Linked DNA regions of Arabidopsis thaliana. The protein of the gene in region 2 purifies or fractionates together with the protein of the main gene of each other region. This does not show direct contact. Each region holds a gene or a part of one and is shown on either strand. Other genes may lie near its edges.

Region 1 (6,611 bases), on a different chromosome or scaffold from region 2:
TCACGTTCTTTGACATATTAACGAGTTGTCTGAACACACATATTGGGAATTGACGTGCTTGATCAACCTCCACGCATAGTGAAAATATTATATTAGTTTTTATTCTTTGTTTGGTTGGGATCATGAAGGAAGCACAAGAATTTACTCAAAAACGTTATCCAAAGATATCACGGAGATCGAGTTGAAGATGGAAGGTAGAAAATAAAAGATAGGGTTTTAACTTTTAATTGAGGAGATCGTTGGTTGGGAATTAATCTTGGGATGGTTAATAGCCAGATCACTACAATAGTATCTTTCTTGGGATTTATAGTGGGTTGGTAGTGGTAGAAAGATCAAAGTTTTGATAACATATCAATTTAGTGTTTTGAAACTACGATTGAAGTTTGGTCAAAGCTTGCTAATGATTTAGCTAACCATTAGAATTCGAACTTTTATGCATGCACTATAATCTTTCTTTGATCTTTGAATTATTTCAAAATACAGAAACCTTTCTTCCATTAATTCCAAAAGAAAAAAAATGCCGCCGCAACTAAATTATATATGTACTTTGTTTGTTGTTTCTCTGGCCAAGCTTTGACCTTCCGCGAACGTGAAGTGCTATTTGAACGGTCCACCACTGCTTCCATATCCTCTTAGGGCAACTAATTTCACCTTTTATATATGTGTGGGTGAATAAATTACTAGAAATGTCCAAAACATAAGATATTATTTGAAGATTTTTAGGACCCATACCATATTTTCCAATTTGCATGTCTAGGAGAATCCACTTGGAAAACAACTTAAGAAAATGACATTGCACTATGTACTTAATACCGTACTAAACTTTCAGACTTTTCAATATTTTATAGGATTAAGGTAATGGCTAAGAGCCTAAGATATTTATGAACTAACGTAGTTAAGAAATACGCGTCCATATAAACGTAAAAGTAAAAAACTTTCAAAACATGAATTTTATGAACTCTTGAAACAAACCAGTACTAGCCTACACATTTAAGTCGATCCACATTATCTCATAAAAGAGTAGTAATATATAATGTATTGAGTGGTAAAGTACTCACATACAACTTACAAGCCTTAACGAGTTTTTACATAGAAGACCTATAAGGCTATAAGGATTATCAATAGAGAGTAAAGACAGTCTAAGATGGTATACACAAGTATCATAACAGCTCAAATGACTAAATGAAGTTAAAAACGAATAAAAGAATATGTGAATCATTCACAGTGAATGCTTAGAAAACAATAAAAAATAAAATGTAAGAAATTAAGAATGACTTCAGACTCTAACGTTGTTATTCTGTCTCTACATTTCTCCTATGGTCAGAAGAGGTGGCACAACTGAATCAACATCACACTAATATCGTCCAAGGAGCCTCGTGATACAGAGAGGTCAACGAGCTTCTTGCAAGCCAGCAATGGCTTCCGTTTCTGATCGGTCCCTTTGCAAAATGGTCGAGCTATGTCTACTGCCTCCTGATTACTAACCTTGTCCCATAGACCATCTGATGCTAAGATCAAGAACTCGTGTTGGGGATTGATTCGGAGAATATTTATCTCTGGTTCAGATATTATCCATTGTTTGAGATGAGCATCTCCTATTCCTCTAGATACCGCTAATGATCCTTGAATTCTCCAAACACTATTGAATGTATCCACATAACCGCCCTGCAGGATTATCGTAATCAGAACCATGTAATCATGATAAAACCTAACAGTAACTTCTTTTGCAAGAATTCTTACCGAGCTCTCAATTCTGTTTCGTTCATCATCTCTGGAAGGGCGGTGGTCAGAAGTCAAGGCCTCCGCGAATCCTCCAACGCTCAAAACAGCACGGCAGTCACCAGCATTGGCCACCACAAGATTTCCGTCGCTGATCAGAGCCGTGACACAGCACGAGCCGCCCTTAACGTTTTTTTCCTTGAGAAACTCAGAATCAGTCGCTAGATAACCACGTTTTACAGCTTCTTCAATCTTTGACTCGTTCCTCCCACCAACTATCTCGCCAAGAATGTTACTACACAAGTTCTTAGCCGCAAACTCAGCCGCTGTTGGTCCTCCGTGACCATCATAGACTCCGAATATTGCCTGCGGTTATAAAAAAGCTAAAAATGTTAAATCCCCATTTTGTAAGTCACTGGATCTATCTTTTTTTTTTTTCTTGAACACTAGTCATTGGTTCTATCTAATCAAGAACTACTCATACAATTTGTCATATATATGATTCACTGAATTTTCTTATAATCTTTAGAACTTCTAATTTGATTCATTGAGTCAACAACACAGCATAAATAAATTTTAAGTTATATATTACCCATCTTCAAATCGCAATTCATACTAATTAAGCAATAATCAGTAAATAAACTCGAAATTACGGAAGAAAATTGAAATTACCTGTTTGGGATCTCCTTGAAGATTAGTGATGGCAGAGAAACGATCCTCCATAGCTTCTCTTTTACCTCTCTTGCAATAAACAGAGTAACCATCACCTTCCCTCTCCACTGCTCTACTCTCCTCCCTCGGCGTATCTGCATTCGATATAGGAGCTGCAATACCAACCGGAGCCACCGGTATATCAAGCGTCGTCGGTCGTTTCCTCTTCAGAATGCTTCCCGGACCAGAGTCCGATCCAAACCCTAGTTTAGCCGGCGGTTTCAGGAGACGGAGGCAGAACGGAGATGTGGGAGACGCGGCGGAAGGAGAAGTAGAAGAAACGGGAGGATTGAGATGGGAAAGAGACAGGGTTAGGGTTTCATGTGCCGGAGAAGTGTTCAACGGTTTGTTGCAGAAAAGAGACGAAGACGGAGAGAACACCGGTGAGTTGCAAACGGCAACTGAAGACGACATCGTTTCGTAGAAAACTTAAAAGTTTCCTTTTTCTGATGATTGATTTGATTGTTAGTCTTCTAGACGTTTGTGTTTCTCTGTTTAGTGTCAACGAGAGAGAAGAAAGAGGCTTGAATATATAATATAAGACCTGGACAAGTCTTTCTCTGTTTCTCTGTGGCCGTTGCTTCTTCTTCTTCTTCCAGGTCAAACGTTACCACTCTCATCTTTCTCTTTGACTTTTTCAAATCATGAATCCACCGCCACAGTCCATTTTTTCTGCTTTTTCTTTGTCAACTGCGATTTTCCAGAAATTAAATGACTTTGGGAAGATAAAAAGTCAAATAAGGCCGAAATAGGAAAGAAATCAACACCTAAAATTAAAAAGCCCATCAGGAAAGCCTTTAATGAGATAGCCCATATTAAGTCGGACCTACATGGATCTTTAGAAACCCGACCCGGGTCGTTTTATTTGCAGAGCCATCTCTTGTTCGGATCGGCGGCTCGGAGATCAGGGATCGCTAGTTCAGACACCTTCTCTTCTTCTTCGTTCTCCTTCGAGGTTAGTTTCGATAATATTTTCCTTTGTTGTTTTTTAACTTTGATTTATGCGTGATAGATGTTACTGATTCAGAAATTTCGTTCCGTGTTCATGTTTCTCTGAATTCTTAGGGTTTAGCGTTGTCTATGCTTATTCTTTTGCGCCGCTCCGTTTTGGGCTCGAACAGCTTTCTCTTGTTTATCTGTGTTCGATTCAGCGAATTGATGGTTTCCATTGTTGCTTCGTTTCTTGTTCACTTTTCAGTGAACTTCAAGAATTTACCGTCGTTCCATTGATTTAGCTAGAATTGGATATAGAAAAGTTTCAGCTTGAGTGGAACTGTAAGTAGAATAACTGCTGCCTGATAGGTGTTTGTTGAAATGCCTCTGAGAAACAAAAATTGTGTTTTCTTTACTTTGTTAACCAATGTTATTTGCAGGTCAAAATCTTCTTAATCGAGGAAGAGCAAGATCTTCTTTAAGCAGTCATGGCCAAGCATCATCCTGATTTGATCATGTGCCGGAAACAACCTGGCATTGCTATTGGGCGACTGTGCGAGAAGTGTGATGGAAAATGCGTCATATGTGATTCCTATGTCCGCCCGTGTACTCTGGTTAGGATTTGCGATGAATGCAACTATGGTTCGTTCCAAGGGCGGTGTGTCATATGCGGAGGAGTTGGAATCTCGGATGCTTACTACTGCAAAGAGTGTACACAACAGGAGAAAGATAGAGATGGTTGTCCTAAGATAGTCAATCTTGGCAGTGCCAAAACTGATCTGTTCTATGAACGTAAGAAATATGGATTCAAAAAACGATAGTAGTTTGTTGTTACTTGAGCTATTGATCTTTTATTTATTGATGCTAGGAAAGTGTCTGTACTTGTCTTGTTTGTGTTAAGGAAATTTTATCCGGTGAAGTAATTTAAGACATGGGTTCAAACTAAGGATTATGGTTTGTTGATTTAGTCAGCCTTATTACCATTGCTATGGTTGGTTACTGTTTCTTAAGTGGTTGTCAATTATGTGATTGTTAGCGTTTGGTTGTCCATAAATATGATTCAGTTGGTGGATTAGGCCTCGGAAGTTTTCTGGAGAAACACCGTCCCTCTGTGTTTGCCAATGAATTATCTGACTCACAAAATTAACGTAATCTTGTGTATAAATCAACTTCATTCTTTTAAGTTTTAACAGCATTACCACTTGTGAATTCAGCTATGATTGAATACATAGCTGGGCGATAACTATAATTTTCTAGATAAATGTCAACTTAAAACTTTAAAGAATACGCAATAACTCTGACTCTCTAACGTCGACAAAAAGGTTATCATCCATTACATAAAAAACCCCACATGATCGTCAGAATTCAGAAATATTCGTTTTCAAAGTAAGGAAACCCCAAAATCCCTTTTTTGGGCCAAAAATATAGACGTTGACTTTTTATATCGGACGGTGCCTGTAAGTCAACTGCCCATGCATGTTCGCTTCGTTTATGTGTTAACTGTTAACTTAACAGTGTGGAATCCACAATTTGTCTGCAATAGTCAACTCCTATCTCCAATAAGACAATGACACGTGTTAAACATCAGCTACTTTATTTCGAAACAGATCCTGTATTTCTAGCCGAATTAATTCAATCATAATCTAAATAATTGCTATTTACGAGTCAAAAAATATTTAGACGAAAATTTGATATTGTAGCTAGCCATTAAGAAAAACGTTAATTTGTAAGAAACGTTTACGCTGATGATTTATTCAGGGAAGACCACTGAAACAATGAAACACAAGATTTATATAGTGATGTAAAATGTTGTAATAGACAGACTTTTAATATCAAAATATTTCAAACCACATGCCTTTGCAGGTATCTACACCAATCTTTAATCAAAATGTTTTAAATTTTGTTGTGCCCTAATTCCTTATAAATGTATTTTGCTCGAATTTGGGTTAGACATTCAAAATGATATGTTTGTAGGAATGCTTCCATGTCAATAAATTGCACTATTCCGGTTATGTAGCACTGTCCGAAATATATATATTAAAGTAGTTTGAAAAATAAGGTTAATTAATCTTTATTATTAATGAATACATTTCCATTTCACGTTTATAAAAGGAGAGGGTTACGAGAGATATAGTTGAATAGAGAAGAGAAAGAGGAAGAGAAAAAGGGGAAAGAGAAGAGAAGATGGTTTTTTGTTATGCAATTCGGCTGTGTTTATGCATTTTCTTGGCACTTTCAATCGTCTCTTCGGCTCGACTAACTTTTTCATTTTCAGGTAAGAGAAATCGAGCTCATCATCCTATCTACATACAGAAAAGATCAAATTTTGGAGTTGTATATAAACTCCTCATTCGAATTTTGAAATCCATAATAGTATATCGTTGGATTAATTACTTTCGTAATTATCTAAGTTTTAGCTTCGTAATATATGTTAAACCTGCATGCATGACAGAAAACGAAAAGATGATGGTGAGGGGTAGATCATTGATGGTGAGCACCAACGACTACGGCGAGCCATCGGCCAACGCCAAACACAATCCACCTGGAAGGCGTCGTGGAGGAGGTCGGAGAGGGTAAATAAATAAAAAGATAAAAATAAAAAAATATGGTTTTGGATACATTTAAGATCTTTAATTTTACTCATTTTCTCTCAGTATGTCATCTCTTTATATACTGAACAATAAAAACCTTCCATCAAATAATACGTTCTGATACATTAATAAATTAGTAATGAACACCTAGACTCGTATCTTCTAATCTCAATGTTTAATGAATGGTAAAAATAATTATTTAATTTTCCGTGGTCAACAATGCATAATCTTTTTATTTATTTTGTCTTCTTACCTTTCAAAAATTTCTCAACTTGTCAACAGAAAAAATAAAAATCCCAATAACAAAGGTGACAACCGAAACAGAAGCACATGACCACAATGCTAAAGATGGATAAAAAAAATAGAGCAAAAAGAAAGACAAAAATTTCAGTAGTCAAGAGTATAATTAAGCACGTATAATTTGCAAAATTTTTATTTTATTTTTATGAACCGTTTGGTGTATATATATAATCCTTGCTTTCCAGTTTTGATGATCTTTTTGTGCTACTTTGTATGCGGTTAAAGATTGTTGTAATAGGCAAAGAAATCTTAAGTAATGCCTCAGCTGTTAAACGTTGTGATCTCCTCTGTTCAAAATATTTCAAGTTGATCTTACTTATGGTAATGCTCTACTCGTGATTGTGAGTTTGAACTAGT
Region 2 (10,640 bases):
CTAGATGTGATTACCATTTCGTTACCTGTCTGGATTTTTTATTCGTCTGCTTTTCTTTCGGAATCTAGGGGGAGCTTGTGAGGGTCTTCGCCAATGAAAATTGCAAGATCACGTGTCGTAAGTCTATGCTTTTACTCTGAAACTTTTGTCGCTCATGTACTTAACAAAACTCGATCTGTGGCTTGTTTGATCCATACCTGTTGAAACTCCGTAGTTTACCTCATGCGGAGAAAGCACTACTGCGTGACCTGTTTTGTGTTGAGTTAAAGATATCAAAACTGCATGACTTGTCAGTTTATAATTCAGTATTGGTTTCTTCTGGCTGTTTTTCGGTTGGTCTGATAATTCAATTCTATCTCCTTTAGATCTGAGCGTTTCTGGTAAATAAGAAGAATATTTCTTGAAAAGTTTCTTGGAAAGCTTACTTTGCTGTTAGTATTCTTAGATACTGCAGGGATTGCCGCTGCAAATATTCTGTGAATTATCTGGTGACTGGTTTCCTCTTCTATTTTCGCAGATCCAGAGATGCAGAGTCATATAGAGAAGAGTCTTTATAACGGTCATGCTTTATTCAAAGTCTCCTATTCAGTATGCCACTTCTCTTATTTCATCTTTTACAAATCTGGTCTTTGGTTTTCCTGCACATACCTCCTCTATGTTACTCTCTCACTTGTGCGCCTATTGCTTTTTTACTATGCGATCTCTCTTATGAAACAGATTGGTTATTTGGATATATGGGAAGCAGCTACATTGTCTATTAAGAAAGAAGGCTACAGCATCAAACCTACTAATGACCCTGTAATTACAGAAAAGTTCTCCTCTTCTACTAATGTAAGAGTCTTGCCTTATTTGCCCCTTTGTGTTAGAAATGTAATATTGGCTGAATTATGTTAACATACATCCCGAAGAATGAACTAATATTGTGATCTTTCTGATTCTGCTCGTAGATTGTGATTCCCTTTGATCAGCCTGCGGATTTTGTGATTATTGGTACCGATGGCGAGGAGCATCTCTGTCGAGTAGTGGACAATGATGCAACAGATCTTAGCTGGTAAGTAGAAGTCGTCTTTCTTTGGATAAAGTAAAGTAGATCAAAACTCCTTCGTCGTTTAAAACAGATTTTCTTCTATGAAAATAGATGAAAGTGAAACGAGACGCTTTTTGTTTTTGTTTCTTTCTGATTTCAAATGCATCACCAATAGTCTAAACTTGAATTAGAATAATCTGCTAGTGTTTTCTTTTTAAATGAAGTTGTTTAATGTGTTCCAAGTATTCAGTTTTGGGTTTCTTGTATTAAGCAGTCAATCTTCTGTTTTGTGTTTGTATTTGGCAGCTCAAGAGATACAATTGTGCTCACCCTTAGATTATTTCTTAAGAAGGTAATGTTTCAGACTAATAACCATTTATCTTCTTTGATAACATGGTTGATTCGTTTCCTTTCTAACAAAGCATCATAGTCATACTAATATTAGCGCTTTTTGAGAGAAGCAGTGGTTGATTGTTTGGTTCTCTGATTTGGTTGCAGACTCTGCAGAGAAAGAAGGGGAAGAAAAAAGGATTTTTGTTTAACAAATGAGAGTTTTTGGTAAATAGTATTGTTGGCTCTTTTGTTTCTTCTCTGGCCTCTCCAGCTTTAGAATATTAGAGATAGTCTTATGAACGATTCAGAGTTATTTATGTAAGGCTTCTGTAGCTGATTAAGAAAAAACTATTCAATCAATTTCAGTATATGAAAAAAAAAATATGAGCAAAAAAAAAAGTAGTAATAAACCAAATCTTTTGTTGATCTGAGTTCCACTTTACATTTCATTACAAATGTCGGTTTTCAGAAGAAGATGAAATGAAATCATTTCTAAAGAGAAGCCATTCTATATTCTAAGTCAACATGTAATTACCAAAATGCCGTCTTTGGCATATGTGATGTTCATTGAACCACATCATACAAAGCTAACAAAGCCCAACATATGTGATGTTCACTGATGGCATATGTGATGTTAAAGTGGGCTAGCAGCCCGCGGGCCTGAACGGGCTAAGTATAAAAAGGAGCTTAGAGAGGAGGTTATGCAACTAGGAGTGAGCTCTCGCTATATGTTGATGTTCTTGCTGCATGATGAAATTCTAGTGTGTTGCAGTTCGGCTTGAAGTTATGGAGAAGTGTTAAAAGCGGCCCGAAAATTGGTAGTCCCGTGGGGGAAAGGCTGCTTTGGTTATCCATCATGTCTCCTCGAGAAATATCAAACCAAAGAATGGAGTATATCATATTGGTGGCAAGTCAGTCCAATGGGGTTTGATCAGGACGGCTTGGGAGGATTTTGATGCTGGAATCAGAGATATGCACAATCTTTTTTTGATTCTCGAAAAGGGAACCTGGGCAGATGGCCGAGTGTATACCTCTAGTGCTGAAGAAGTTAGGTGGCAAGTTGAGGTGTGCCAAGGATGTTTCTGACGATATATAAATAAATGTTACAAGGAAGAAGTACACAAGACAAGATAGGCCAAAGTAACTGTAGTCTCTAATCCATAAATAAAATATAAAAAGTTTTGTAAGATAGAAGCAAAGCATGAAAGGTTTTTTTTAGTTGGGGGAGAGAAAATGAACACGAGCAAGAGTGTACTCTTTTCCAGCAATCCAAACACCAGTTTGTGACCACTGTACATCTTCCCAATCAAGATTCTCCTCCAACACCTACTCCATTCCAAAATCCACAACACATCATCAGCATTTGTTTTATAAAGAATTTTCAAAACAAGAAGAGTCAAATTGGAGAAAAATGTTAACCTCGATATGATCTGCTGGGAGTGGAAACCCGATAGACCGCATAAGCTTCTGTGGGAGAGGTTTCTTACATCGTGACCAGCGGAAAACATCAATTAAACTGTTGTCTGAATCTGTTTTGTCACCGTTTGTCAGATGGTTCTGTGACTTGTTATTATTATTATCTGTCTCCATAGCTTCATGTGATGATTGTTGTTGTGAGGCTTGGATTGCTTTGATGGTCTTCTCTCCTGCGAAACAGAGCTCATACCTTTTTGCATACACAGATTAGATTCAGCGTCTTATGTCATTAATGTCAGATAAAAGAAACATGTGATGTGCATACCTGCATGAATGAGTTTCTAAGTACAAAACTTCCCCTTTCTTCAAGCGGGCAGAGGTGAAAAGAGGCTTCTTGAGACCTTTATCAGCAACAATGCTTATGCTATATTTAATCCTGCAGACAAGTAGATCGATGCGTAAGTAAAACTGACCCTTGCGTCTGATAACTTTTAGGTGACAAAGATTTCTGATAAATTTAGGAAATTCTGTGAACAATTTTTGAAGTATTTGGAGATTATTGACAGAGAGTTACCAAGGTTCATTGCAGAGATTGTATTGTATTGTGACTTCTCGTACAAACCTTTGTTGCCGCAGAGCATTCTACAGAACAGTAAATAAGTCGTCAGTGTTCGAAAGATATGAAATATGAGAAAACTATGCAAGCCGCCATGTGTAATAATCCAAGAGTTGTAAGAAGATTAAGAGAGCAGATATTTCCAAAGTGGAAGGAAAATACCGAAGCTGCAGCTCTGGTGGTCATAGATCTTTCAACAGCCATTGGTGCAAGAGTTGGCTCCACAGTTGAGGAGTGTGTAAGGGAAGGTTCCAGTTCAATAGTCCCACCTCCTTTCTGGAATCATATCATCAGAATTTCCATAAGGAGTTTTACACAAATTCACTTAAAACTAGATATTACGCACATAGTGGGAGAAGATAATCAAGGAAATTAGAAAGACACATAATGGCACATGTCAAATCACCTTCAGTATATAGCACCGCTCAACTCTATAACTGCATCCGATTCCAGCTCCCCATGCTCGAGAACGGACATTGTTCCTTAGCTTGGAGGTGTAGTCTAACAAATATATCAGTTAAGTTGGAAGTTTGATAAAGATTCTTCCTTGATATAAAGCAGAGAAGAGCTCAACATAGTATGAAGTTCACATGCAACAGTCAGTTAAAGGAATCAAAAGCAAGACAGAGGTAAGCTAACTTACAATCTTGTGACGGCAAGACTCTAATAGTAGTGCGCAGCTCTTGCATTGTCGGTGGAGGAGGAGAAGCTGTGGGACGACAGTAACCTGTATGCATGAGAACTAGATGACAGGTAGACCAGAATCAATGTCATGTTCGGGCCAAACAAAGATAATAATTGCATAAGATTCATTAGGGTACATACCAGCAACAAGATCGGAATCGTCTGTGTATATATCTGTTCCCCATAGTTGGCCACCTCTTACCTGCACACGAGCCAAATGTCTCAGCAAGTAACAAACAAGGGAGCTGTGTTTCTCAAATTAATAGGCGAAGTGAATTAAACAGATCAAAAGACTGGAACTAAAACTATATGCACCAAGTCATCTAGAAGAAAAACAATGAAAATGATTATGAGAAAAATTTGGATATATATTCGACTTACTTGGCGATTTGTAGCAGTAACATGCTCAGCTGGAATCCTAACTTCAAGAGTGGGGCCATTATTAGCGAAATCACCGCTTTTATCAGGATGAGACAAATCATATTCTTTCCACAACTTAATCAGTTCTTGCATACATTCGCCAACTTTGTAAACAACAATCGACACCTCTGACTTGCCTGAATCATCAGTACAATAAAATTCAACAAGATCAAATTATGAAGTGCAAAGGGATTCAAATTGTGTAGAAAATAAAAGAAACAGAAAAATGATAAAAGTTAAAAAAAAAGCCAGGGCAGTAAGTAACTTTTAGCAGCCAAAATCTCAAGTAGCATTAAGGATCACATCGACTATTAGGTCCATATTTTTAGATCTTGAGGTTCTTTATATATTTGACATTCTACTGTGAGAGTAAAGAACAGTAACCTAAGGACGACCATAAGAAGAAAATCTCAAAATAGATTGCTTATCAAGTGCATGTGTGTTCGTAGATGACCATTTCAGTGATATGTAAAAGAAAAATGTCATAACCGGTTTTTTTTTACTATTGTTCTCCAAGCAGTGCAACTTGATCCTTTCTTGAGGATATAGAAATGAATGATTACCTTGTACTCTGCAAAATAAACACAATCAAAAACGGATGATACATTACAAGCCAGGCCAGTAATTACAAAAACAAAAGTCTTGAGCTTAGCTAATACCTAACTTACGTAATAAAAGACATAATATTCTTAACACAGATAGAAAAGGAGCGGAGAGGAATCCAGAGAAAAATCAAATTTGGTTTTCAGAGATAAGACACTACATAATACACATATGATTGCAGAATTTTATTTAAAGGCTTTTTATCTTTTAAGAGGAAAAACAATAATGGTAATAAGATATTCAACAATAATGGCCCCTTCATCATATAGTATCGTATCACCTGCAGATATTACTATATAGGCTCCAAATTTAATCAATGGGGTATGTCTCTCTAAATGGTAAAGATAAAGGATTCTACTAAGCAATGAGAAACATATAATTATAATTAAACGAGGAAGACAGAGAGACGCACCCTTCGTTGTCCTGACTCCGTGAGCGGACATTGTCGCGATTAGTGGTTTGTGGGCTGCCTCTCGGTCTCAGCGCTCTCTTCCTCTGCTGAACCCCATAATTGAAGGCATCCTTTTCCCTCTCGGTAGCTCCTTCACCCTCTAAACACCCATCTTCAGATTCTTTTTCACTGATTCTGCTGCGCTTTTCAGCTCTTTCTGCCTCTGAATCACCATCCCTCTCTCTCCTTTTTTCCTTTGTTTCTCTTTCGTCTTTTTCACAATTATCCGGTTCGTTCTGCTTCTTCTGCTCTGGTGCCACATATTCCTGCTCTGAGGGTTTGGCAGATGCTTCTCCCAGCTCTTTCTCGTTCTGCGAGATCTCTTTCTCAGCACCAGTCCTTGGCTCTCTTTTGATATGATCTTTATCTTTCTCTTTATTTCTTTCTCGATCTTTCTGCTCCATCCTCTCCCGTTCCCACCTATCGGATTCCCTTTCTTCTCTTCCAATCTCTTTGGGTTCACTCATGACACTACCAACAAGCACAGATACTCGACGGTCATTTCTATCCTTGTCTCGGTCCCCCCATTCTCGATGCTTTAACTCTTTTCTTTTCTTATCTTTTTCCTTAAATCTATCTTCGTTTTTGGCATCAACCTTGTTTTCTCCGACGGTTTCACGTCCTTCCAAATGAGACCCCTCCACAGGCGCAGAGAGATCTTTAGGCCCAACCTCAGTTGGGCCTTGCGGATTACCGCGGGATACAACCCACGGGTCCACATTTGCAGTCGAACCTTCAGCAACTCTCTTCCCTCTATGGTAATCCTTCTGCTCTTTCCAAGCCAAGTGAGCATGCCCTTCCTTTTCCATCTTAATCTCCCCCTTTTGTTCATTATAATTTTGATTCTCCCTATCAAATTTTGTATCCCTAGTATAGCTACCGGCATTACTTTTCCCGCTAAAATCATCCCCTGGACGCTCAAACTTGGCATCCCTGTCACTCTTAGGACCCTGAATCTCCCTCTTAGTCTCACCATACATCTCTCTCCCATCATTCCTAGTATAGCTTCCGGTATTACCTTTTCCGCTAAAGTCATCTACTGATCTCTCAAATTTCACATCTCTGTCTCCCTTAGGACCCTGAATCTCCCTCTTTGTCTCACCATATATCTCTCTCCCATCACTCCTATTTTCTCTACTCTCAACCCTAATTTCCCTGCCATCCTTAGCACCATCTCTCGGCTCCATCGGCACAGGGGCGTGAGTCAAATGAGGATCACTAGAAGAAACAGTTGTGGGCAGCGACGGAGACCGATAGACAAGAGGCAGAGGAGAGCGTCTCTCTCCATCTCTAGGCTCGCTTCTCGCAACCTTAACCACCGTTCTAGATTCAACCTCATAAGGAGCAGAAGCAGAAGCAGCAGCAGCAAGTGGTGAATGGGAGTGAGAATGAGAATGAGGGTGAGGAAGCGCCTGGAGGTGAGGTTGAGGCTGAGATTGAGATTGAGATTGGGGATGCTGATGGGGCTGTTGATGGTTATGATGAACCTGAGCCGGTGGTGGCGTCACAGGCTGATGCGGCGATTTAGGGTAAGATCCAGAATCCTCGTGAGGGTATTTTGCTACTGATGAAGAAGAAGATGGATGAGTAACACCCTCTTCGTGAGATCTCTTTGGAACACCACTCATCACTCCCAAATTCAATAACCCAGAAATTCACTGCTGCAACAGATAGAATTGCACTTAATTCATACACAACCTAGAGCAAAACACAGAATTTGAATCACCAGACTAAACATTGAATCCCTAAAATGAACACAGAGCCGAAGATTTTTTTAAAAAGGATATTTCTTTTACCAATTGAAACTGAAGCAGAGCACGAAGAAGCAAACCCTTTTGGATTTTGCCGCCGGGAAGTAATAAATGGCAAACTGGATTCGGACTTTTGCCTCTCTCTGAGTTTCTCTGATGAGTCTAATTTATTTTCCGTTCTCCTTGGTTTGCTACTTTATTTTGGACAAATGTTTATTTTTCGCGTTAATATTTGCTTCTTGTCACAGACCGTCGTGCTCTTACAAGTCTCCACAATTTAGGTTTTATTTATTGCCGTTATGCCCTCATACTTATTCAATCTCTCACTTTTTCCATAAAACTTTCTATTAATTGAATTGTTCATAGGATATAGATTTTGTCGTTTTTAATTTTTTTTATACAGTACAATAAAAAGTCAACGGAAAACAGAGCTCATTAAATTCACTGAGACGAAATAAAATAATAAATAAATAAATCGAAGGAAGGAGTCATATCACCTTGGTATTTATATATCTCAAGCGACCATGCATGATAGTGAAATATTCAAGTTTAAAGACATGATGATGATGTCTTGCACAGTTCAAACATTAGTACTTGTTCCATGGTTTCTAGTAGTATTTGTACTCGCCGGTGGAGAAGACTCATCCGAGACGACGGCAATGTTTCCGGCGATGTTTGTGTTCGGAGACTCTTTGGTGGATAACGGAAACAATAACCACTTGAACTCACTGGCTAGGTCCAACTATCTCCCTTACGGCATCGATTTCGCTGGAAATCAACCAACCGGTCGCTTCTCTAACGGCAAAACTATCGTCGATTTCATTGGTACATATTTTACATATCGGTCTCTACATGCATTTGGTTTTGAAATCAGTGCATGCATAAATTTAATTTGCACAAGAGATTCACCCTTTTACTTTTTTTTTTTGTTTTGTTAATTTTTTAGTTTGTTTTGGGTTAGCAATTAATTAATTAACATGATCATGGGGATGGATGTGGATGGTTGCAGGAGAGTTGCTAGGGCTGCCGGAGATACCGGCGTTTATGGACACGGTTGACGGAGGAGTGGATATTCTCCATGGTGTGAACTATGCCTCAGCTGCCGGAGGAATCTTAGAGGAAACCGGTCGCCATCTGGTACTTCTTCTTTTTTTTCTTTCTAAATGTCTATTTTTATTGTTCAAAACATTTTTTGGTTATATAGGATATGTTTCTTTTTTTTTACCATGTTAGTTCATATCAAAAACTTTGTTTAACGAAATTGGTCTAATCGATTGCTTATGTTCATATAAAGAATCCAAGTTCGAAATATCCAAAACTGAAACCGAAAATTGAATTGTACTATGCTTTTTTGTTAATAAGCATACGGTTTTCGATATTGAAAATTGAAAGTTATCTTTCGCTAAGTAAAAAAAATAAAAAAATAAAAAAGTGAATTTGGGGTGCATAAAGTCCGCCGGAACAGTCGTCCTTTAACCAATAGAAGTAGCCACATTTGAATCACGGGAGGTTATTTAATGTCGAGTGACTTTGATAGGGTGCATGAAAAACTTTTGCCTACGAGACATGAGTATTTAATAACCCCAAAAAAAAGACTATAATAAATGGGGTTGCATTCTTGCATGCATGCATGGATGAAGGGAGAGAGATTTAGCATGGGAAGACAAGTGGAGAACTTCGAGAAGACATTAATGGAGATAAGTAGGAGCATGAGGAAAGAGTCAGTGAAGGAATATATGGCAAAGTCATTGGTGGTGGTGTCATTGGGTAACAATGACTACATTAACAATTATCTGAAACCAAGGCTATTCCTCTCAAGCTCTATTTACGACCCTACTTCTTTCGCCGACCTCCTTCTCTCCAACTTCACCACTCATCTCCTTGTAAGTCTTATTTACGAATCACTATCAGTAATATCATTAACCATATATGTGTGTGTGTGTGAAGTCATCGAGTGCCTAAAATCCGTATAGATAATTACGAATTTTTATTTTATAACAATAATACTCATGTCAAACTAAAATTCGAGTGTTGTACAAAATTTTGTTAGGAATTGTATGGAAAGGGGTTTAGGAAATTTGTAATAGCCGGTGTGGGTCCATTGGGTTGCATACCAGACCAACTAGCCGCCCAAGCGGCTCTGCCAGGTGAATGTGTCGAGGCTGTAAACGAGATGGCTGAACTTTTCAACAACCGTCTTGTATCGCTGGTGGATCGTCTCAATTCCGATAACAAAACCGCTAGTGAAGCCATCTTTGTTTACGGTAATACCTATGGAGCCGCCGTGGATATTCTCACCAACCCATTTAATTACGGTTAAGTATCTAACTTATCCCTTGTTTTACATTTTTTTTAATCAAATGTTTCGTTTTAGCTTAGTTGAGAGCATTTTTAACTTGAAATGGTTTGATTTTGTTTTCTTTTATTGTTTGTAGGATTCGAAGTGACGGATAGAGGGTGTTGTGGAGTAGGGAGAAATAGAGGAGAAATAACGTGTCTGCCATTAGCGGTACCATGCGCTTTCAGAGACCGACATGTGTTCTGGGATGCATTTCATCCAACACAAGCTTTTAATCTCATAATTGCTCTCAGAGCCTTTAATGGTTCCAAATCCGATTGTTACCCCATTAATCTTTCTCAACTTTCTCGTCTCTAAACCCTCAACAAATCCTTCTCTTTTTGTTTATGTATTTTTGTTACTTTAATTTTGTAGACTTGTAGTAGTACTATTGCATATTTCTTCGCATTATCTTTTTGGTTGTGATTTGGTTCCAATTTGAATGTGGACCTCTAATGATTACATTATCGTTAACTGCAAACATATACGTAGAAAATGAGTCGATCGAGAAATTGTAGAATCTTTTTCTATTATTCTTGGTTTCACAAATTAATGGTAGAGACTTTCATGCATAGTGATGACATAAGATGTTGCATATTGATATGGCGGATTGTTCATAGTTTTTTTTTGTTTTTTTTTATGACATAAAATGTTGCATGTTGGCATGTTGCGGACTAATTCATAGATTATTATTAGTCCATAGATGTATTATGTACTGTATATACATCATTTCTCTTTTTTGTTACATGTTTGAACTTAAACAAAAATAAGTAACTAACTATAGGTTTAAAAGGCCCAATTAGGAAATTAGACAGGCCCAAATATAATTATTGAAGCCCAAAATGAGGCTAGCAATTCGAACAAAAAAGATAAGCTTAGGAAATTGTACCAATGTCTCGCAATCGGCAAATCATCATCCCCGACGACGTGATGGAAACAGAAGCGGTGGTTAATACCGTCGCCGGCGTCGACTGTTTCGTCTCACTCCCTCGTCAATTACT
Region 3 (6,602 bases), on a different chromosome or scaffold from region 2:
CTATCAATCCAACGCATATGTTTCCTATTTATTAATTTGCGTCGTTAATATCAAGATAATTAATTTATCAATTATCAACACTACACGTGCTTATATATGTCTCGTATAATGCTAATTATCATCATTCATCACATAGCTCCCAAAGTCTCGTGTAGTGTTAAAAACAAAGAAAAACTAATTTATGATAGTTTAGTGGTTGAATAATTCATTTTAAGATTAAGAGAGAGTGGTACATACTTGTAGTGTGTGGGTGAGACCGAGAGGAAGAAAACTCTAGTGAGAGGAGAATTGATATAACGAAGGACCCAACTAGACCACGTTCCTAGTCCTTTTCTCAACGCCACTAACCTATCCATGTCGCCGTAATATCTCCCACCTGTCTCCATCTGCTCCCACCTGTCTCATCCCAAAAAACTTTCACTATTCACTCATAATTTACAATAATGATCTATATGTTACCCTCCTAGTTATAGGTATGTGAAAAATTTCACTTATATAGAGGTTATAACTTTAGCTTACCCTCGTAAAGAACCTGTGTGGCTCCACCAGTGACCAGTGTTGAACAATAGAACGTCGGCTGTGCGCCAAGCATTCGATGCATCCACAGAGATTTCGTCGAGTTTAAGAGTTGTCTTTCCGTTAATTTTGTCGATGTCTACAAGATAAGGAGCTCTATAGAATGATACCTTCACGTTGTAGTCCTGTCATTGCATATACACATTAGCAAAGAACTGGAAGTAACTTGAGGTATAACTTAAGGTTTGAATGGTAACAAACAATAGTTTGTTTATCGCCTTTCAACTAATTTTAATGAATAGACCTAAACTTATTTTCAGCAAATTAAAATTGTTTTCATTTAAGTGCCTTAAAAGAATAAAGCTGAAAGCTAAAATTGTTTTCTTATCGGAAACTTAAAGAAAGTATTATTAAAGTAATATAAGAACTTCAATTTATAGCAAGAAAATTAATTCAGATTAATTAAAATGACTTCTTTCTAGTGGTCTTATTCTAATCCGAAGAGCTTAGATCAAAATTATCTGAAAATAAACTAATATTCCATATTCATACCAAAAAAAAGAAGTATAATACTGTAGATTAGTAGTAACTGATATTGCTTTATTGGACCAGTGAAACTGTCACCGACGACGTCAAGTTGTGAGGGTAATAATAGTTGAAAACGACGTTCAAAATTACAACTTTTGACCTCAATTTTCACGAGGTTATTCGAGAAAACTTGACCAAACAGAAAAAAAGTTTCATTTACCGACAATAGAAAATTTGTTTTGGGAACTTACAAGGATCTTGAAGGTAGAGAGAGGATCTTCATGAATGATGTGAGTATTAATGGACGGTGCTGATGAAGAGATCATACATATCAACGACTCCCATTGGTTTCTACCCAACGAATCACCAACGAACATTATGGTTTTGTCTCTCATTTCTTGTAGAAACTTCACTCCATTGAATCTGCTTTCCCAAATGGAGTATAATCAGAAAGGGGTTCCATAAATAAATCATTGCGTCGACATTACATATTTAAAATAATAAGTACTTATTATATTAACCGTACCAAACTCCACCTAATTAACAGTAAAATCAATTTGTTTTTTGTTAAAAACGAATCTGTTAAACTTGTACTTATTACACATTTAGAAAAGGAGAATCTCTCATAATTAACTAATAGAAAAATATATTATAAAGTTGTATGTATGTAATACCCCTAATTATGAAAAAAATGTAGTGAAGGAATGTCTATAACCATAAAATATTAAATACTAACAAATAATTTGGGATCATTGTATGATCCAAATACTATCGTATATATATGACAATTCTTGGTATAACCAGCTAGAATTTGTTTTTGTCTTTTTCATAAAGTAATCAAATTTACAATCTTGGTTGGTATAGTGGCCCTACCAAAAATTCATTTGCCAAAGCATAAGTTTTACTATTGGATGTCAGATTATAACCTCGGTATCAATAAAATGAATATTTCTTCCTCAAAAACAAGACAACTAAAATTAACATTAACCAAATTAATCTAACAAAGTAGAGCTAGTGACAAGTGAGTGAGTTTAAATAACCTAGGGACATTGCAGTTGAAAGGTTTCCACCGGAACTTGAGATAGTCGGAGTCAGGTCTGCCGTAAGTCTGGCAGTCGAATCCCGGATCTATGATTCCTCGGCCGCATTCTTTAGACCGGTAAAGTGGGTAAGTCTCATCCCGCACCCACTCGCCGGCGAACAGATCACAACTACTATGATTCACCGGGAAAACCACCTGACTTCGGCGAGGATGCTTCACGAAGTTGCTGTGGTTGCTTTGGATCGGCCGCCGGAAGAGAGGGAGAGGTGAAGCTGACGTCGCGTTTTGGAGAAGAAACAAGAAGAGGAAAGTGAGACATTGAACAGCCGCCATTAAAGAAGCGCTTGAAGAAAAGAAAAGAAAAGAGAGAGAGAGAAACGAGTAAAGAAGAGAAGTTGTTGTTATTATATGTTTGTCCTTTGCATGGAACTTACTAATACGTAATGTTTTCGAGGACTCCATCTTTTAAAAGGACGAAAAATATGGGGTCGGGTTTTAATTTATTTTCTTATAATAATTGAATTTAAGTATTTATGCTTTACCCATAAATAACAACATTTAATACCAGTATTAGTGAATTACGAGTTACTGCTCCGGACTCTGAAACTTAAACGGTTTTGGGAAACACATATAAAATCAATGTGTAACAGTAAAACAAACTTCAAACGTATTATCAATAGAAAAAAAGGTAAAACAAACGTATCAAGAATTCAAGGTATATAAATATAATAGATAACGAGTTAACGACCTTCTTTATGATCTCACAAGGTATCAAGATTTTGTAATTGTTCCTTAGAGAAAATACAAAAATGCAGATTCTTTGCTTTACTTTACCTCCATGTCTAGAATATGATCATTTTTTTTATAATTGTGAAAAAGCCACGTCACTGTGGTGATACTCAGTCAAAGCTAGGTCAATGAAATTACCAATTTGGCACTGACAGTGGCAGCTGCTAGTTGCGCACACTCATAAACGGTAACGTTTGGACCGGGTCTAAATTGGGTACTATTGATTAGGACATGGTTTAATTGATTTGACTGCCGGTTTGGTTTGGAGCAACTTAAACTAATCTGGTCCAATAATAATGGGCTTTTACTTTGGGCTTTAAAGATTCTGATTGGACCCACTTTACTAAACTGGAATCTGGATGCTTCGTTATTTGTGTAGAATCCGACCCGATTCGTTTTATTGCTCTTTTTGCTTCGTCGTCGATCTTGGCGCTCTGGAAATTTCTCGTCGCAACGTTCTTCTCTATTGGCTCAAGTTAGATCTCCCTTTACTTGTGTGAGTTTTATTTCACCTTTTTCTGGGGTTTGTTTATTTTGTGTACTGATTTCGTTGCTCTGAAATCTTAGGGTTTGTATTTTGTAATGTCTATGCTTATTGATGGAGCTTTCGGTAGTTTGATCAAATTTCAAATTTCTTATCGATAGTTTCTCTTCCACGATTTTGTTGGGTTAGTAGAGTAGGCCTCTGGAACTGGAAATTAGAAAATTTTGGCTGGAACTGATGCATGTAAGGTGTTCGACGAAATTCCTCTGAGAAACTATTAGTGACAAGCTTCTTTTTTGAAGTTTTACTTTCTTTTCTGATTCTCTAACTGTTGATTAGAGTTTAGTTTTTCAGTAGTTTTATTAATTCCTAGTCTCCATTTAGTTGGAAGGAGCTTATTAGTTTTCTTTTACTAAGCTATCTCTTGCTCACCTTTTCCTTTGTGAATGAGTATATAGACAAATGACCTCTTTTTGCTTTTGTTTTGGTTTGCAGATCAAACACTGTTCCAGTAAGCCATGGCGAAGCATCACCCTGATTTGATCATGTGCCGGAAACAACCCGGAATTGCTATTGGACGACTGTGTGAGAAATGCGATGGGAAATGCGTGATTTGTGATTCTTATGTGCGTCCGTGTACTCTAGTACGTATTTGTGATGAATGCAACTACGGGTCATTCCAAGGTCGGTGTGTTATATGCGGTGGCGTTGGAATCTCAGATGCTTATTACTGCAAAGAGTGTACACAGCAGGAGAAAGACAGAGATGGTTGCCCCAAGATTGTTAACCTTGGCAGTGCGAAAACCGATCTCTTCTATGAACGCAAGAAATACGGATTCAAAAAACGATGATAGTTCGGTATTTCGTGATTTGTACGGTCCTTTGATTACTTGATTTGGATCTCTTATGCTATGTGTAAACTTGTTTGTTGACCCCCGTTGCATAAAACATATATTCCAATAAAACCTGAAGATATTGGATACAAAACCTAAGTTATGCTTTGTTTTATGATTTTCTTAAGTTACACATGTTTCTCTCGATTATTTCTTAATACTTAAAAATTATATATATCATAATCTTACAAAGCCAAAGGAATATATTTATAACCAGACTCGAACAAACATGACAAGACCCGAGATTCATATTCGAGAAATGATGTTGTGAAGTCCGGTTCATCGATCAAGCAGTCGATAGTGATATAAAATTGAGTCTATCGTAAAATTTATCCCACCAAAATCCAATAATATCACCAGTCTTGAACTTTCTTTTATCAAGAATGTTACTCCATCCGTGAAACTTGAAATTTCCATCTTGCTCTTTTTTCATAATAAGAGTTGTTGTAATCTTCGAATCGTATTCGTATAAATCCAACAATTGTACCGAATCGTGTTGTGACAATTTTACACGACGATGTTTACTAAACCATGGAAATAAGTTTTTCTCTACAAACTCTTTAGGCATTGTTAATGTATTACTCAAACCTGTGTCTGATGCTTTCAACTTTATCAGGATGTTCAATGAATGGCTTGGATCAAACGGCTTATCGTGACACAACTCAGTTCTTGCCATGATTTAGCACAGAAATTATATGAATATCAGGTTTTGTATTGAAGAATTTGTTTATGGGTTAAGGATACATATATATATATATATATAACAATAATTGTGTTGCGTGGATGATTGTAATTAAGAGTTTTTGACAAAACAGATATGGTTTTTTCTTTCTCTCATAAATATCATAAGATTCACTATTGATTAAACATTTGGTATTTAAATATAATCAAAGTTTAAAATTAGTACTAGATTTTAACCCACGGTATACCGCGGGACGATTTATTTTGTAAAAGTAATATATATTAAAACTTGCAAATTTTATTTTTATAAAATATTTATATTTTACAGTTTATAATTGTTGTTAAGTAACGCTATACCACGAATCAATGAGACAATTGTTAAAAAACTGAAGTTTTAACCCCTATTAAAACAACATATTAATAATATTTTAAAAAATTTTAAATATTAATTCAAATACATCCACCATATAACACAATTCCAAAATAAAATCCGTTCTGTAATTTCTTTACCCGTCCCGTGATTTTTTTTAAAGTAGTAATTTTAAAATTTTAAGAATTATTTTTTATATATAAAAGTTTTGCAAATTGTATCATTCTCTAATACATTTATATTTTATAGTTTAATTTTATATATAGTAACATTATACATACCACATAACATTTTTGGTTTTATATAATCTTTTCTAAATTAGGATTATTTGATATATTTAATATTAGTGGTCTTAAAAAATAATAAATTAAAGATTTAACTTGTATTGAAACGGTGGATTGATTATATTTTACTTTTTTATTAATGTTGATTCAAAAACCCGTCCCTCCAAATCCGTCTTACCAAAAAGCCATTTATTTTATTAATATTAATTTTATTAATGATATGACTCTGAATTATAATCTAAACATTTTAGCTAATAACATAGGAGTGCACTATATTTATTTATTATGGGAATGTACCTTATGACCCGAATGCACTTTTACCCAAATCCACCAAAAAAAATCTTGCAAAAATACTATAGAGATAATAAACGATAGTCGGTTCTGATAGGTATAAGATTAGCAAATATATTAGTTAGCTTTTATTAGTTAAAGAATACAAATTGAAAAGGTATATTACACTTTATTCAAATATAGTATCAAAACTTATATAACACAGAGATTTGATAATTTTTTAATTGTTGAGTACTTTTTTTTGTGCTAATTTTTATGTGATTAAGATTTAATTGATTTCGTATATAAAATTATTAAATTGTTTTACGAACTTATTTGTTTATAATTTGGTAACAGATAGATATTCGAATATTTAGTATATTTTGCTTTAGTTTAGGAAATCTTTGATGACCCGTTTTTAGATCCAATAAGCCCTATAATCTAGATATTAACCTGCAGTATACCGCATGTAGGCTTATTATATATTAGTTAAACTAAAAACTTTTACTGTAAAGATGATTTTAAAATATATGATATTATTTTATTTGATTTTAAATGTATAGTAAACTGTGAGTTGTATATGTTTTGTTGATATTATCTATATTGTTTAGTGTTTAAGATTATACACATGTAGTTTGATTGTTAATTTAAGAGTTTCACCTGTATTATACCATCTTGTATTAATATCGATCTAAACCCGTCAATTCTAGGATTTTCGAGCTTGTATTAAAAATTAAATCACATC

Evidence for each region.
Region 1: the proteins of AT5G08450 (region 2) and AT1G07170 fractionate together in Arabidopsis thaliana (co-fractionation; one large-scale study listed by BioGRID). This does not show direct contact.
Region 3: the proteins of AT5G08450 (region 2) and AT2G30000 fractionate together in Arabidopsis thaliana (co-fractionation; one large-scale study listed by BioGRID). This does not show direct contact.

The regions. Positions count from the first base shown.
Region 1 is NC_003070.9:2,196,835-2,203,445, forward strand, and holds AT1G07170 (PHF5-like protein), read left to right. Parts: upstream 1-3,162; 5' UTR 3,163-3,385; exon of another isoform or gene 3,386-3,803; 5' UTR 3,804-3,851; coding exon 3,852-4,184; 3' UTR 4,185-4,438; downstream 4,439-6,611. Other genes in the region: AT1G07160 (Protein phosphatase 2C family protein), read right to left, coding at 1,321-1,665, 1,741-2,085, 2,392-2,844; AT1G07175 (alternative NAD(P)H dehydrogenase), read left to right, coding at 5,548-5,638, 5,816-5,936, 6,237-6,288.
Region 2 is NC_003076.8:2,725,395-2,736,034, forward strand, and holds AT5G08450 (zinc finger CCCH domain protein), read right to left. Parts: upstream 7,532-10,640; 5' UTR 7,347-7,531; intron 7,249-7,346; exon of another isoform or gene 7,212-7,248; 5' UTR 7,179-7,211; coding exon 5,512-7,178; intron 5,068-5,511; coding exon 5,060-5,067; intron 4,634-5,059; coding exon 4,458-4,633; intron 4,279-4,457; coding exon 4,218-4,278; intron 4,135-4,217; coding exon 4,036-4,134; intron 3,894-4,035; coding exon 3,799-3,893; intron 3,669-3,798; coding exon 3,555-3,668; intron 3,419-3,554; coding exon 3,351-3,418; intron 3,213-3,350; coding exon 3,102-3,212; intron 3,027-3,101; coding exon 2,780-3,026; intron 2,687-2,779; coding exon 2,576-2,686; 3' UTR 2,219-2,575; downstream 1-2,218. Other genes in the region: AT5G08440 (uncharacterized protein), read left to right, coding at 69-117, 518-831, 948-1,051, 1,334-1,379, 1,526-1,576; AT5G08460 (GDSL-like Lipase/Acylhydrolase superfamily protein), read left to right, coding at 7,826-8,126, 8,311-8,438, 8,942-9,184, 9,352-9,616, 9,737-9,957; PEX1 (peroxisome 1), read left to right, coding at 10,531-10,640.
Region 3 is NC_003071.7:12,801,650-12,808,251, reverse strand, and holds AT2G30000 (PHF5-like protein), read left to right. Parts: upstream 1-3,227; 5' UTR 3,228-3,371; intron 3,372-3,854; 5' UTR 3,855-3,877; coding exon 3,878-4,210; 3' UTR 4,211-4,429; downstream 4,430-6,602. Other genes in the region: TBL45 (TRICHOME BIREFRINGENCE-LIKE 45), read right to left, coding at 238-396, 520-701, 1,296-1,467, 2,085-2,548.